Diceros bicornis minor: one gene and its partner. The protein of the gene in region 2 binds, or shares a complex with, the protein of the main gene of each other region. Links are inferred from orthologs where the notes say so. Each region holds a gene or a part of one and is shown on either strand. Other genes may lie near its edges.

Region 1 (7,663 bases), on a different chromosome or scaffold from region 2:
CGTTTTGTTGATGGTATCCTTTGCTGTGCAGAAGCTTTTTAGTTTGATGTAGTCCCATTTGTTTATTTTTTCTATTGTTTCTCTTTCCTGGTCAGACATGGTGCTTGAAAATATGTTGCTAAGACCAATATCGAAGAGCGTACTGCATATGTTTTCTTCTAGAAGTTTCATAGTTTCAGGTCTTATATTAAACTCTTTAATCCATTTGGAGTTAATTTTTGTGTATGGTGTAAGGTAAGGGTCTACTTTCATTTTTTCGCATGTGGCTGTCCAGTTTTCCCAACACCATTTGTTGAAGGGACTTTCTTTTCTCCATTGTATGTTCTTGGCTCCTTTGTCAAAGATTAGCTGTCCATAGATGTGTGGGTTTATTTCTGGGCTTCGATTCTATTCCATTGATGTGTGTGTCTGTTTTTGTGCCAGTACCATGCTGTTTTGGTTATTATAGCTTTGTAGTATATTTTGAAATCAGGGAGTGTGCTACCTCCAGCTTTGTTTTTTTTTCTCAGGATTCCTTTAGCTATTCGGGGTCTTTTGTTGTTCCATATAAATTTTAGGATTCTTTGTTCTATTTCTGTGAAAAATGTTGTTGGTACTTTGATAGGGATTGCATTGAATCTATAGATGGCTTTAGGAAGTATGGACATCTTAACTATGTTAATTCTTCCAATCCAAGAGCACAGAATATCTTTCCATTTCTTTGTGCCTTCTTCAATTTCTTTCAGCAATGTTTTATAGTTTTTGGTGTACAGATCTTTCACCTCTTTGGTTAAGTTTATTCCTAGGTATTTTATTCTTTTTGTTGCAATTGTAAATGGGATGGTAGTCTTAATTTCTCTTTCTGCTACTTCATTGTTCGTGTATAGAAATGCAACTGATTTTTGTATGTTGATTTTGTGTCCTGCAACTTTACCGTATTTGTTACTTCTAAAAGTTTTCTGCTGGATTCTTTAGGGTTTTCTGTATATAAAATCACGTCATCTGCAAATAGTGACAGTTTCACTTCTTCCTTTCCAATTTGGATCCCTTTTATTTCTTTCTCTTGCCTGATTGCTCTGGCTAGGACTTCCAGTACTTTGTCAAATAGGAGTGGTGACAGTGAGCATCCTTGTCTGGTTCCTGTTCTTAGAGGGATAGCTTTCAGTTTTTCACCATTGAGGATGATATTGGCTGTGGGTTTGTCATATATGGTCTTTATTATGTTGAGGTACTTTCCTCCTATACCCATTTTATTCAGAGTTTTTATCATAAATGGATGCTGTATCTTGTCAAATGCTTTCTCTGCATCTATTGAGATGATCATGTGATTTTTATTCTTCATTTTATTATTGTGGTGTATCATGTTGATTGATTTGCGAATGTTAAACCATCCCTGCATACCTGGAATAAATCCCACTTGATCATGGTGTATAATCTTTTTAATGTATTGTTGTATGCCATTTGCTAGTATTTTGTTGAGGATTTTTGCCTCGATGTTCATCAGTGATATTGGCCTGTAGTTTGCTTTTTTTGTGTGTTGTCCTTGTCTGGTTTTGGTATCAGGGTAATGTTGGTTTCGTAGAATGAGTTAGGGAGCTTCCCCACCTCCTCAATTTTTGGAAGAATTTGAGAAGGATAGATATTAAGTCTTCTTTGAATGTTTGGTAGAATTCACCAGGGAAGCCGTCTGGTCCTGGACTTTTATTTTTGGGGAGGTTTTTGATTACTGTTTTGATCTCCTTACTGGTGATTGTTCTAGTCAAATTCTGTACGTCTTCTTGATCCAGATTTGGAAGGTTGTATGATTCTAAGAATTTATCCATTTCTTCCAGATTGTCGAATTGGTTGGCATATAGCTTTTCATGGTGTTCTCTTATAATCTTTTGTATTTCTGAGGTGTCTGTTGTAATTTCTCCTATTTCATTTCTAATTTTACTTATTTGTGCCTTCTCTCTTTTTTCTTGGTGAGTCTAGCTAAAGATTTGTCAATTTTGTTGATCTTTTCAAAGAACCAGCTCTCGGTTTTATTAATTTTTTCTATTGTTTTTTTGGTCTCTATTTCATCTATTTCTGCTCTGATTTTTATGATTTCCCTTCTTCTACTTATTTTGGGCTTTGCTTTTTCTTCTTTTTCCAGTTCCTTTAGGTGCATTGTTAGATTGTTTATTTGAGATTTTTCTTGTTTATTGAGATAGGCCTGTATTGCTATAAACTTCCCTCTTAGAACCGCTTTTGCTGTATCCCATAAATTCTGGCATGTCGTATTTTCATTTTCATTTGTCTCCAGGTATTTTTTGATTTCTTCTTTGATTTCTTCATTGACCCAGTCATTGTTCAGTAGCATTTTGTTTAATCTCCACGTATTTGTGGCTTTTCTGATTTTCTTCCTATAGTTGATTTCTAGTTTCATACCGTTGTGGTCAGAAAATATACTTGGTATTATTTCAATCTTCTTAAATTTATGGAGACTTGTTTTGTGACCTAATATGTGATCAATCCTGGAGAATGTTCCATGTGCATTTGAAAAGAACGTGTATTCTTCGGTTTTTGGATGGAATGCTCTGTATATATCTACTAGGTCCATCTGTTCTATTGTGTCATTTAAGGCCAATGTTTCCTTATTGATCTTCTGTTTGGATGATCTATCCATTGGTGTGAGTGGAGTGTTATAGTCCTCTACTATTATTGTGTTGCTGTCTATTTCTGTTTTTATGTCTGTTAATAATTGCTTTATATATTTAGGTGCACCTACATTGGGTGCATTGATATTTACAAGTGTTATATCCTCTTGTTGGATTGTTCCCTTGATCATTATGTAATGCCCTTCTTTGTCTCTTTTTACAGTTTTTGTTTTAAAGTCTATTTTGTCTGATATGAGTACTGCTACCCCAGCTTTCTTTTCATTGCCATTTGCGTGCAGTATCTTTTTCCATCCCTTCACTTTCAGTTTGTGAGTGTCTTTAGGTCTGAAGTGTGTCTCTTGTATGCAGCATATATATGGGTCTTGTTTTTTTATCCATTCAGCCACCCTATGCCTTTTAATTGGAGCATTTAGTCCATTGATGTTTAAAGTAGCTATTGATAAGTATGTACTTACTGCCATTTTTTAACTTTTTTTTTCTCCGTGTTTTAGTAGTCCTTCTCTGTTCCTTTCTTCTTCTATACAGAATTGATGGTCTCTTTATTTTCACCTCTGTCTGAAAGCTCTACTCTTTAACTCCCCTCCTCCCTCCTTTTATGTTTTTGATATCATATCTAGCCTCTTTTTTGTGCATTTGTATCCATTACATTTTTACTATGGAAATAGATAATTTTTCCTATTTGTGGTCTTCTCTTTTTCCCTTAAATCAGTCTCTTTAACATTTCTTGTAGCACTGGTTTCTTGGTAACAAACTCCTTTAATTTTTGCTTGTCTGGGAAATTTTTGATCTCTCCTTCCATTTTGAATGATAACCTTGCTGCGTAGAGTATTCTTGGCTGTAAGTTTTTTCCTTTTAGCACTTTAAATATATCGTGCTACTCTCTTCTAGCCTGTAAGGTTTCTGCTGAGAAGTCAGCTGATAGCCTTATGGGGTTTCCTTTGTATGTAACTTAACTTTCTCTTGCGGCTTTTAGGATTCTCTCTTTATCTTTAATTCTGGAAATTTGATTATGATGTGTCTTGGTGTGGGCCTCTTTGAGTTTATCTTGTTTGGGGCTCTCTGTGCTTCCTGTACCTGGATGTCTGTTTTCTTCCTTAGGTTAGGGAAGTTTTCATCTTGAAATAGATTCTCTGTCCCTTTGTCTCACTCTTCTCCTTCCAGGACACCTATAACACGGGTGTTAGTGTGCTTGATGTTGTCCCAGATGTCCCTTAGACTGTCCTCACTCTTTTTAATTCTTTTCTCTTTTACCTGTTCAGCTTGGGTAATTTCTTCTAGTCTTTTGTCCAGCTCACAGATCTGTTCTTCTGTATCCTCTACTCTGCTTTTGAGTCCCTCTAGTGAATTTTTTATTTCCAGTATTGTATTCTTCATTTCTGATTGGTTCTTTTTTATATCTTCCATTTCTTTGTTGACATTCTCACTGAGTTCATCCATTCTTCTCCCCAGATCAGTGAGCATCCTTGACACTCTTTGTTTGAACTCTCTGTCAGGTAGATTGCTCATTTCAGTTTCACTTATTTCCTTTTCTGGGCTTTTGTCCTGTTCCCTTACTTGGAATGTATTCCTTTGCCTCCTCATTTTGCCTCTTTCCCTGTGCTTATGTCTATCTATTAGGTAGGTCAGCTATGTCTCCTGCTCTTGGATAGGTGACCTTATGTAAGTGATGGCTTAGGAGGCCTGCAGTGTGCTTCCCTCAGTTCTCAATGTTCCAGGGGTGATCCCTCTGTGGGCTATGTGTGTCCTTCTGTTGTGGCCTGTTTGCTCTCCCTGTAGGCACCCAGGGAGGCCGAGTTATGCTCCTGGCCAGCTGTTGTAATGCTTAGCTGCTTGTAGTGTTGTGGACCTTTCAGTCTCTTTATCAGGTGTGGGAAGCCCCAGCACAGTTGGCTGCAAGTTCTAATACCACATTTGTGTTGCAGTATTTCTTTTAAGTGAGTAGGCCCCCAGCATGCCAGGTTGTTAGGCTCAGGGCCTTACACTTGCTATAAGCCTCCAGCCTTTAGGTCTCTTGTCTGCTCTCTGAGGATTGCAGCTCGGTGGGGCTGGCCTCAGGCACAGGAGCACCCAATTGTTTCAGGCTTTGGAAGGTGGGGCAAACCCCCTATGTGGGTCTTTGAGAGGCACAAGTCTTCTGTAGCTGACAAGCCCTGCCGCCCACAGGTCCACACACACGGTCAACACAGTCCTGCCCCTTGTGCGTGCCCCAACCTCCTGAAGCTGACCCAGTCTCTCCACTGTGGGAGCCCCACACACTCCACCACTGCCCCACTCTCTCCACCCATTCCTTGTGCGCGTCCTGCCCCACTGAAGTCAGCTCAGTTGCCAGGCAGCAGAGAGTCCAGTCACCAATCTATGCAGGCCCACAAGTTGCCTGAGGGCTTGTTGTTGGGTGGGGCCAGTCTCTAGGGTGCGCTGCCTGCCCTGGCTTAGCTGGATTAAATTGGTGCTCTAGGGGGTGGGGTAGACCCTGGGCTAGCAGGCCTCAGGGAGAACTCCAATGGTGTCTGTGTCAGCATGCCCATACCAGGCCACAACAATGGCCGCCGCCAATGTCCCAGTCCCTGGAGAGGTCTCACCCCTCACCGAGATGCACTCAGGGCCTATTAGGTGAGTCTCTTTTCACCACAGCACTGTGCACCTTTCTTTCTGGTGATTTTAGATTGCTTTCTGAAACGAGTGAGTTTGTGCGTGGGCCCTTTAAGAGCCAGTTTTAATTTCTTTGTGAACCAGCTTTTCTGGGGGTACTCCCCAAGGTTTCAGTAGCAGGCAAAGTCAGATATTATGCCACTCATCTCGATTGTGCTGGGTCCACAAAATGCCTACAGCGGGGGCGCTCCCCGGCTCAGGGTCCCACTCCTCCAGGGAGGCTGCGTACCTGTGGGCTGCTCCCAGGCAGCCGTGAAGCGCTGCGGCTTCTGAAGGCGGCGTTTTTCCTCTCCAGAATGGAGTTTCTGCCTCTTCCACCTCAATTAGGATTGTCCGTTGTTGCACGAGTTCCTCTTATCCAGTTTTCAGTTCTGTCTCGTGTAGTTTTTCCATGAGTAGTTGTAAATTGGCTGTGTCTATGGGAGGAAGTGAGTTCGGAGTCTGTCTACGCCGCCATCTTGACTTCCTCCTATATTGCCCTTTCTAATGGAGTTCTATAATTCTTCTAGAATTGCCACATTTTAAAAAAATCTTAGTTCTCTCTCTGCTCTTCTACCTGCGTCATTTCTAGGTTTCCATCTTTGAGCTCACTAATTTTTTCTTACATATGGTGCTCTGTTTCCAATGCTTTCTAATGCATTCTTCATCTCATTTATTGTGTTGTTCATCTCCAGAATTTGTTTGGGTGTTTTTTTAATGTTTCAATCTCTTTGGTAAACTATTCCTTCTGTTTATTGATTTTATTGCTGAGCTCATTGAACTGCCTTTCTGAGTTTTCTTGTAGCTCATTGAGTTTCTTCATGACAGCTATTTTGAATTTTTTATCAGTTAGATCACAATCTTCCTTGACTTTATGTTTGGTTTCTGGAGAATTGTTATTTTCTTTTTGTGATGCCATGTTACCATGGCTTTTCATGATGCTTGCTGAGTTATGCCTCTGCTGGTGCATTTTTCGTAGCAAACGCTTTTCTATTTAGGTATAGCTTGTTTGTTTTGATTCAAACTTTTTAACTAGTTGGAGATTAGAAGCCTCTCTTTTGTTTTTCAGTAAGTGGCTCTATAGCGCTAGTTTTTGGTTTCTCTTACCTGAGCTGCCTCAGGCTTTATTTGAGGATCTGCACAATTCACACTCCACTGCCTCTCTCCAGGGTGTCAGTACTCTTGTTGTCACTGCCTGTGCCTCTGAGGTCACTGATGCCTTGCTGTTGCTGGTGTCCCTGCGGTCAGTTGCTGGCTTCGCTGCTGGGGTACAGGGATGGCTGACACCTCTGCCACATCCAGGATCGCCTGGGTCAGAAGCTTCAATGCCATGGTCAGGGGAGGGTGAGGGTAAGGAGGGAGCTGGGTTTGCAGGGCATCACCTCTGCTGTTGTCGGTTATGTTGTGGCCGCAGGTGCCACTGCGGTTGGGATGTTGGAGTTGTGTGCATGCCTCCACTGCTGCTGTGTGGCTTTCAACCTTGGCTGGGGGTCCAGGATTATAGGGCTCTGCCCCTGCTGCTGCTCTGTCCCTGGTGGCTATAGGTGCCACCGTGCCTGGCTGGCCAGGGTCATATGTGTGACTCCACTGCTACCCTCCATGTTCTTTAGGGCTGGGGGTGGCTGGCTCAGCCACTGTGGCCAGAGGTCCAGGGTCCTGGGCACCACCTCTGCTGTTCCTCCATTTTGCCTCCTTTATGTGCTCCAGTCTACCCACCGTCATATGTACTGATGTGTGGATCTCTCCATCATCCTGGCGTGTTGGGCAATGTAGCTTTTGTTGGGTTATGGATATTTTACTCGCTGTAGATTGAAGGAGAGAGACAAAGGGATCCTCTCATGCTGCCATGATGATGGTGTCTCCCTAGGACTTACTGTTTTTGTTTGTATTAAAATATTCTTTGTTACTTTGCATGCTTTGATAACATTACTTGGTCAAGTGTCTCCAATTAATCAATCCTAGATGGAAGAGGTTTTATAAGTTTTACTGTTGTTCATTTGTTTCCCTGTATTGTGCTATTTCTCTCAAAACCTAACATTTGGAAATCTAAACTGAAAAACAGAAATTACAGATTCATATTACTTTTTAAAAGGGAAATGTTGATAGTCCAGAGTATAGTATGGAATAGTAGAGAAGGTGAGCTTTAGAGTAAGGTTCAAATTTGAATTCCAGCTTCCCAAAGCTCTATCTGATCTTAGCTGAGATGCTAAACCTAAGGAGCCTCAGGTTTCTGAAATGTAAAATGGGAATAATTATACCCATTTCATAATATTGTTATAACGGAGATGTGTCTTCTTGTTCATCTGTATATCCCCATCATGTACCACAGTGCCTGGCTAAAGGAATGCTGAATAAATAGGAAGGAAAGTGCTCGGTGCATTCTAGGGAATAAGTCACTATTAGTATGTGTGTGA
Region 2 (7,569 bases):
TTTCTGGCTTCTGCCCTTCCTGGAACATGCTGTTTCTCCATTTGTCCAAAAGCTTTTCTGAGGCTAGGTTCAAGTGCTCCATCACTATAAGCCTTCCAAGATACTCCTTTCCACTGTCCCCAAAGCTTACTTGTCCCTGTCTCCCACCACCTAAGGCCTTATTAAAATACTTACATCCTATCCTCCTATTGTCTAATGTCTGTAATTGCCATTACATGTAGCTCTCTGGCTTCCTTATACTCTGAAAATGCCTGATAAATTTGAGCACATAGCAACTAAATTTTATGGCAAAGAGATTTTTAAGCCATTTAATAAAAATACAAGGGAACAAATCCAGTTTTATTTATTTACTTTTCAATAAGTTTAAATCCTTGAAGGGTACAGCATCTGGGGGGGGAAAAAGAACACAATGTCATTAGGTGCATGTTACATACAAATTTACAAATGTTATCAATTACTACAATATGGATAAATCTCCTTCCGTTGTCCCATTACTCTTTTAAGATTTTTTATTTTTATTGAGGTAACATTGGTTTATTACATTATATAAACTTCTGCTGTGCATCATTATATTTCAATTTCTCTGTAGATTATATCATATTCGCCACCCAAAGACTAATTACCATCCATCACCATACACATGTGTGAATCACCCATTTCACCCTCCTCCCTTCCCCTTTGGTAGCCATTACTCATTTCTGAAAGGTGTCCAATGACAACTTTTATCCTGGTGGGGAGGGAATTGAGTTTTTATAGCCTCAGTCTCTAGGTAAACCCGCTTTGATTAGGAACAAGTACTGGGAGCAGTGCAAGTCCATTTAATTTTGCTTCTCCTACAGAGTAAAAACCTCCTCTGATGAGAAATCTCAACTGCTCAGCAGGGTTCAAAAGCACCCTGTGACCTCAAGAATACGGCCATGCCTACTCTAAATGAATCCTGACTAAAGAAAACAGGAGCTATTTTAGAAAATCACAGGATCTGGAGTCGAAGACTTGGGCCAAAGTCCTGGGACTGAGAAACATGAGCATCAGTTTTCTTCCATAAAATAAGGCTAATAACACCTATATTATAAATTTATTTTTTTTGTAATGAAGATCAGCCCTAACATCCATGCCAATCCTCGTTTTTTTTTTTTCTCCCTTTTTCTCTCCAAAGCCCCAGTAGATAGTTGTATGTCATAGTTGCACATCCTTCTAGTTGCTGTATGTGGGACACGGCCTCAGCATGGCCGGACAAGCGGTGCGTTAGTGCGCGCCTGGGATCCGAACCCAGGCGGCCAGTAGCGGAGCGTGCGCGCTCAACTGCTAAGCCACGGGGTCGGCCCCCAATAACACCTATTTTAACAAGACTGTCATGATTAAGCAATAGGAAAATATTAAGAATTATGCCAGGAAAACGTATGTTGAATTTTTATTTTCTAGAAAATACTTCAGTGCCCAATATCTTTGCCAGAAAACTGTTCATTTAAATGATCCCCCCCCCCCCCCCCCCGAAGCAGCTTTAACAAAATCTGAAATCTAGGCACAATCCATTTGAATACTTTGCCTTCACTTTCTTTCTAATGCCAAAAAGCTGAAGTAGCCACTAATTTTGCAGCATAACCTACAGGCGATGTTTTATAATCACAATAGTTCTTAGAGTGAAAGCCCAACCCCTTGAGCTTAGTTTGACTCAACAGAGTGCCATACTGCTAATAACTGTACTTACCACACGGATTCTGTGTCCAATCGCCTTAGCAGGAAGGTTGCTTCGGAATTTGGCACGAACCATGCCACTGTTTCCATGAGCACGAGTTACCTTTCCCCAGATTACTCTGGTTTTGTTAGGTTTGCCACCAGGAGTCACTGTGTTGCTTATTTTAAAAGGGGATTAAAAAAAAAAAAAAAGCATGAGAACCCAGGCAACAATGTGATAGAAATTCAAGGTGATCTCTAGACCAGTGGCTCTCAACCCTAGTTAACCACTTAGTCATGGGGGGTGGGGGGGGCAGGAGGAGTAGGGAATGGGGGGAATCTGGGGCATAATTTATTCAACAAATCTTTGAGTACCTACTGTATGCCAAACACTTATAAATGTAATTTTTTGTAATTTTGTAAAACACAGCCATTTACAAAACATAAACCTCTTCCAGAGAATAATCAAGTAATAAATCAGTAAATATATACAATGTCACATGGTAATAGCTACAATATTGGGGGGAAAAAAGCAAAGTGGGACAAGAAGCGTGAGAATGTTTGTGTCCAGGGAGAGGAAGGAATTTGCAATTTTAAACAGCCAGAGAAGTCCTCATTGAGAAGCTAACACTGGAACAAAGACTAGAAGATAAGGCAACAGCCTGTGTTAAAAACCTGAGGAGGTTGTGTCCCTGGCTTGTGGAAAGGCAGAAGACCCCAAGGGTGAATCCTAGCTGATCACCCTAGCTGGGTTAAGAGTAGAAACAGGGAGCCCTGAATGCCCAGGGTCTTAGGGGCTCCTTAACGACTTTGGCTTTTACTAAATGAGATGGCTAACAGTTGGGAGGAGTTTGAGCAATATACAGATGATCTGACTTATAATTTTCAAGGCTCACTCTGCTTGCAGGAGGAAAGGCAGGGCAAAGATGAAAGCCTGTCCCTAGAGATTTTAATTGGTCTGGAATGGGTTTAAGAACCCAGGATTAAGAACCAATGCTCTAGAGAGAGAACATGTTTAACCATGTATATATAACATAATTTCAAGGAATCAACAAAATGAATTAAGGCACATGGAAAGTGCCCTATAAAAACTTAGGATCATAATATGAGAACTTGGCTCCGTCCTTGAAACAATTAACAGCTGGAATTTTTCTAAGCGCAGAAGATACCTAAATCCACCACCACCCACAAAAGTTACATCCTTCTAAAACCTACCATCAGGTTCCTTCAAGACCCAAAGTAGAAGCTACAACAGTACCAACCACTTTACCAACATCTTTTGTTTATTCTTCTTTCAAAATGAAAATGAGACAAAAATCAAAAAGCATAACAATACTATAAACTTACTTCTTTGCTTTGTACACGTAAGCACATCTCTTGCCCAGATAGAATTCAGTTTCATCTCGAGCATAAACACCTTCAATTTTAAGAAGGGCTGTGTGCTCCCTCTGGTTCCGGAGACCCCGCTTATAGCCAGCAAAAATGGCCTTCGACCACAGCCTACGACACACAAGACATATATTAACCATAAGCTGTTAAAAGATCTCGTTTAACTTCAACAAACCACCAGTATGATTTGACTTGTAACGACACCTACCCAAAAGTTATCTATACCAAACATCGAATTTTTTCCCCACTAGTTTTAAGTTTACATTTAGGTTCATACCCAATAAACAAAAAACAACTACAAGTACAAAGCAATTATATTTAAAACGCGTACCTTCCAGACATACTCGTCGTTTTAGAAGTCCTGTCTCCGGCAGGCCTTAAAACAAACAATCAGTTTAAAATCTTGCAGCGCCCGTTTCCCACCTAGTCCCTCCCGTTTCTTAAACCTGTCAGGCAAATCGCTTTTTGATCAGCATGTCACGTTAAGACTATGGGGAAATATAATTAAGCCATCACATCTACACGAAGCACAGTATGGCAAGACACCCCAACCTCAGAGAATGCATGATACCTAGGCAAACTCCAAAACGGAGACAAAAATGATTGTCAACACCCGACACTAAAAGAAATAACTCTTACAAACTCCAAAAGGAAGCCCTAAGAAAATTCATGCCACGATCAGTAGAAAAAAATGAAGGCCAAGGAGTCACAGAAGCACGCAGAAAACAAGACTTTTAAGCACTGAATGGGAAAATAAACCTGAGGAGAGAGACTGTAGACAAGTAAGACAAGCTTGGAGTAGGAGCAAATGGAAACAGAACCCAGCCTAAAGGAGTCACAGCCTCAAAAAACGAGCTAGACGGACAAAGTGCATCTACTTCACTCCGCTAGGGTCCAGGAAGCAACTCCGATTACCGGAGCACCCGTTCTCCGGGCGTCAGGAGACCAGCACCATCAGCCCCACATCTCCTCCATCCTGTCCTCTCTGTTGCTGGAATCCACAGAAATCACTGACTGGCAGAGCCCCCGAGCCGCAGCAGTACCTCGCTCAGGCATAAAGTTGAGCCCATCCCAGTTATTTTCCCCCAAAGTTCAGCAACAGCAGACGCCCTCACCTCCACAGCCTCCAAGATGGCGGAAAAAGAAAGTGGAGGCCCCGTCGCGCGGCCTTGTGGGATAAACATGGGTCCGCCCCCAGTTTAGGCATCTTCCGCGACCGCCGGGGGTGGGGGGGGGGGGAAGGCCTCGGAAATCGTCTTCTGACTGAAACAAGCAATGTTAAAGAGCACTTTTAAAATTATTTCCCTAAGTCCTTTTATCTTTGTAAGCTGCAACATGTATTACTTCGGAACAGAGGAAGGCAAAGTGCTAGACAGCTAAAGGATAAGAAAAGGTGATCGTTGCCATAGAAACACCTTAGTTTGGTTCCTGTGCGTCGGGTTCTGTAGGTGGGTAAGTGAAGCCAGAGTGGCGGCCCCCCCTCGGCCTCGAGTACCCCAGATTTGATTCGCCAACATGGGGGTATCTTTCCCTCTGACCACACAGGTAAAGGCCAACGGAGATTCTCGGATCCCAGCCTGGAAGAGAAAGGCCGAGAGCACGAAGGCAGGAGGAGCTGTTCCTTTTCTTTACCTTTTTTTTTTTTTCTTACTCCTTTCCTCCTACTCCTTTATCTCTTCCAAGAAATGACTTAAGTTCTTACCTCCATCCTTCGTTTTGCCCCCGATGGTGAGGAGGACTGCCCTGAAAAGACTTTACTGCCTTTTAAAGATAACTCATTCAGCTGCCAGGCAAACTCTCGGGGCCCCCAGCACCGTGCCCACACGTAGTAGGTCTTCAGTAAGTACTTGTAGACTAGAATAAGATAGATCAGTAGACATCAGAGATTTACGTTTCCTAATTATTGCATATTTATTTGGGTTACCCTTTGGATTCATTCATTTTTTCAACAAATAGTTTATTGAATGACTGCCATGTACCATCTTTGTTCCTGGCTCGGAGGACGCTGCAGTAAACAAAACAACAGAAATCTCTGCCCTCATAGAGCTTACATCTTAGTAGGGGGAGCAAGACAATAAGCAAGTAAATGGCACATTGGAAGGAGATGTGAGACAAATTTTCTCAATGGAGAAAAATTAAGCAGGGAGGCCACTGTAAGGGAGGCTTTTACTCTGAGACGAGAAGCCATTTGAGGGTTCTGTACAGAGGAGTGACTGAGTCACTGTGTTGAGACTGAAGGGAAGCAAGGCCAACAGCAGGGAGACCAATTAGAAGGCTATTATAATGATCCTGATGAGAGATTATGGCATGTAGAGAGGGGTGATGAGTACTGAAATTCTGAATATATTTTAAGTGTAATGCTGACAGGATTTGCTGATGGGTAAGGAATGAGAGAGGAAAGAGTAAAGGATGACTCCAAAGTTTTGTGGAATAGATGTATATAAATCATATTTAAAATCAGATCCTCTTTTAAGTGCATCAGGATAGAGATTATCTACCTTAGAGCCCTATCCCCTATCCAATTTTCTCTGTCCCAGAAATATGCTAGAAATCCCACTATTAGAGATGTACTAGAAATCCCACTGTTAAATGTGCTAGAAATCCAAGTGTAAGTACTCCTGAGAAGAATAACACATTAAGTGTGAGTTTCATTCCTTTGTTCATTCATTCATTCGACAAATACTTATTGAACACAATGCCTGAAACTTAGGATACAATAGTGAGCATCATTATCAGGATTCCAGCTGTCATGGAACTTAACAGTCTAGTGGGGGAAACTGACATAAACATTACAAATTGTGAAGAGAGCTGTTGAAAAATAAGAGTGCAATGAGTGCTTGAACAGAGGAATCCTGATCCAGCCTGATGAGTCAGGAAAATGTCACTTGCAGAAGTGTCATTTAAGGCATTTTACAAACTGCAGGTGATGGCCCATTAGTAGATCATGATTATAATATTTTTTAAGTAAAATATGCTAGAACTGAAAATATCAGAATGTATCACACATGTTAAGGGTAAGTTGTTTCATGAAACTTTTGTTTCAGTTATTTGTATGTATGTATATTTATATATAAGCTATATGTAAAAATGTATGTGTGCCATTGTAGGTCATTGTATCAGTCAGTGTTGGCCTGGAAGGAAACAGTTGGCAGAGATGAAAATTTACTAAAGAGTCTGCTTACAAAGGTGTAGGCAGGAGTGAAACTATGAGAGATGATGCAGTCTCCAGAAACATGTGGAAGAAGAAGTTTCCTGAGTCCCCAAGAGACAGCAAGATGGAGAGGATTGCCTGATGGGAGCCATGGTCTTTGATAGAGAAATATAGCCGACCATTGGTGATCTGACAGGGAGGGAGCTGGGAGAATAAATACCTATCCTCACTCTCCTACACTTTGTACCTCTTTCCGGAATCTCCCGTTGGTGCACTCCATTTGGGTCAGTCTCTCAGGGCACAGAAAATGGTGGAGATTGGACCTAGAGGGGCAAATGGCAGATACCTGCAAAATGCCACTGATTTAATCTGGTACCTAATAGATCAGTGGGACTTTACAAGGTGAAAAGGTGAGGGGAAGAGTGGTTCACGTTGAAGGAATAGTGTAAGCAAAGACCCTGAGTTGGAAGGGAACATGGTTCCATAGAAGAAGTGAAAGAAGCCTATTGAGGCTGGAGCCATGAGAGCAAGAAAAAGGCAGTGCCAGAGGGATCTGGAGAGAAACAGAGGGGGCCAGATCATGTAGGCCTTATGGGCCATGTTCAGAATTTTAGTTTTTGTCCTAAGGCAAGGGGAAACCATTTAAGGGTTCTAAGGAGAGACATGATCAGATTTTCAATTTTAAAAGATCAGTCTTTCATTTATTTTTTATTTTTTAATTTTTTTTTTTGGTGAGGAAGATTGGCCCTGAGCTAATGTCTGTGCCAGTCTTCCTCCATTTTGTATGTGGGACACCTCCATAGCATGGCTTGATGAGCGGTGTGTAGGTCTGCGCCTGGGATCCGGGCCTGCGAACCCCTGGCCACCAAAGCAGAGCAAGCGAACTTAACCACTACACCACGCCAGATCAGATTTTCATTTTTAAAAGATCACCTCCAATTTGGAGCCTGTTAGAGTAGTTCAAGCACGAAACAACAGCAAGTCCATCATGGTGTTGGGGGATATGGAAATAGAAGGTCAGGTCCACAGGACTTGGTGATGGTTTGGATTGGGGGAATGCTGATCAAGATGAAGGAGGAAGCAGGAATGACCCCTGGGTTTCTAGCATTGAGGAACGAGAAGCCAGAACAGCATGAAAGCACTGGATACTGCGTAAGCATTGCCCTGTCTTACCTCTGGGAAGCACATTTACCTATGCCCCAAGCCTAAAAAATGCAAAAATAAAGAAACGACAACACAGCAAGAGAACAAAATCTTCTTAACACCGCGCTACTTCCTCCTAAGACTCCTAAGACAGAAAATTTGGCTAGTTTGGAGTATCTTTTTTTCAGTTTACGTAAAGATTATGTTTTATA

The links. Proteins that work in one complex are often made in the same cells at the same time.
Region 1: IQCG (region 2) and EFCAB2 share a complex: the UniProt entries of both Homo sapiens proteins name them as parts of the nexin-dynein regulatory complex. The link is inferred for Diceros bicornis minor from reciprocal best matches to the Homo sapiens genes DRC9 and DRC8.

What each region holds. Positions count from the first base shown.
Region 1 is NC_080740.1:94,593,365-94,601,027, reverse strand, and holds the start of EFCAB2 (dynein regulatory complex protein 8), read left to right. Parts: upstream 1-4,650; 5' UTR 4,651-5,173; coding exon 5,174-5,231; intron 5,232-7,663. UniProt on the Homo sapiens protein: Component of the nexin-dynein regulatory complex (N-DRC), a key regulator of ciliary/flagellar motility which maintains the alignment and integrity of the distal axoneme and regulates microtubule sliding in motile axonemes.
Region 2 is NC_080754.1:26,646,694-26,654,262, forward strand, and holds the start of IQCG (dynein regulatory complex protein 9), read left to right. Parts: upstream 1-4,557; 5' UTR 4,558-4,608; intron 4,609-6,939; exon of another isoform or gene 6,940-7,366; intron 7,367-7,569. Other genes in the region: RPL35A (large ribosomal subunit protein eL33), read right to left, coding at 364-387, 1,709-1,853, 3,022-3,174, 3,395-3,405. UniProt on the Homo sapiens protein: Component of the nexin-dynein regulatory complex (N-DRC), a key regulator of ciliary/flagellar motility which maintains the alignment and integrity of the distal axoneme and regulates microtubule sliding in motile axonemes.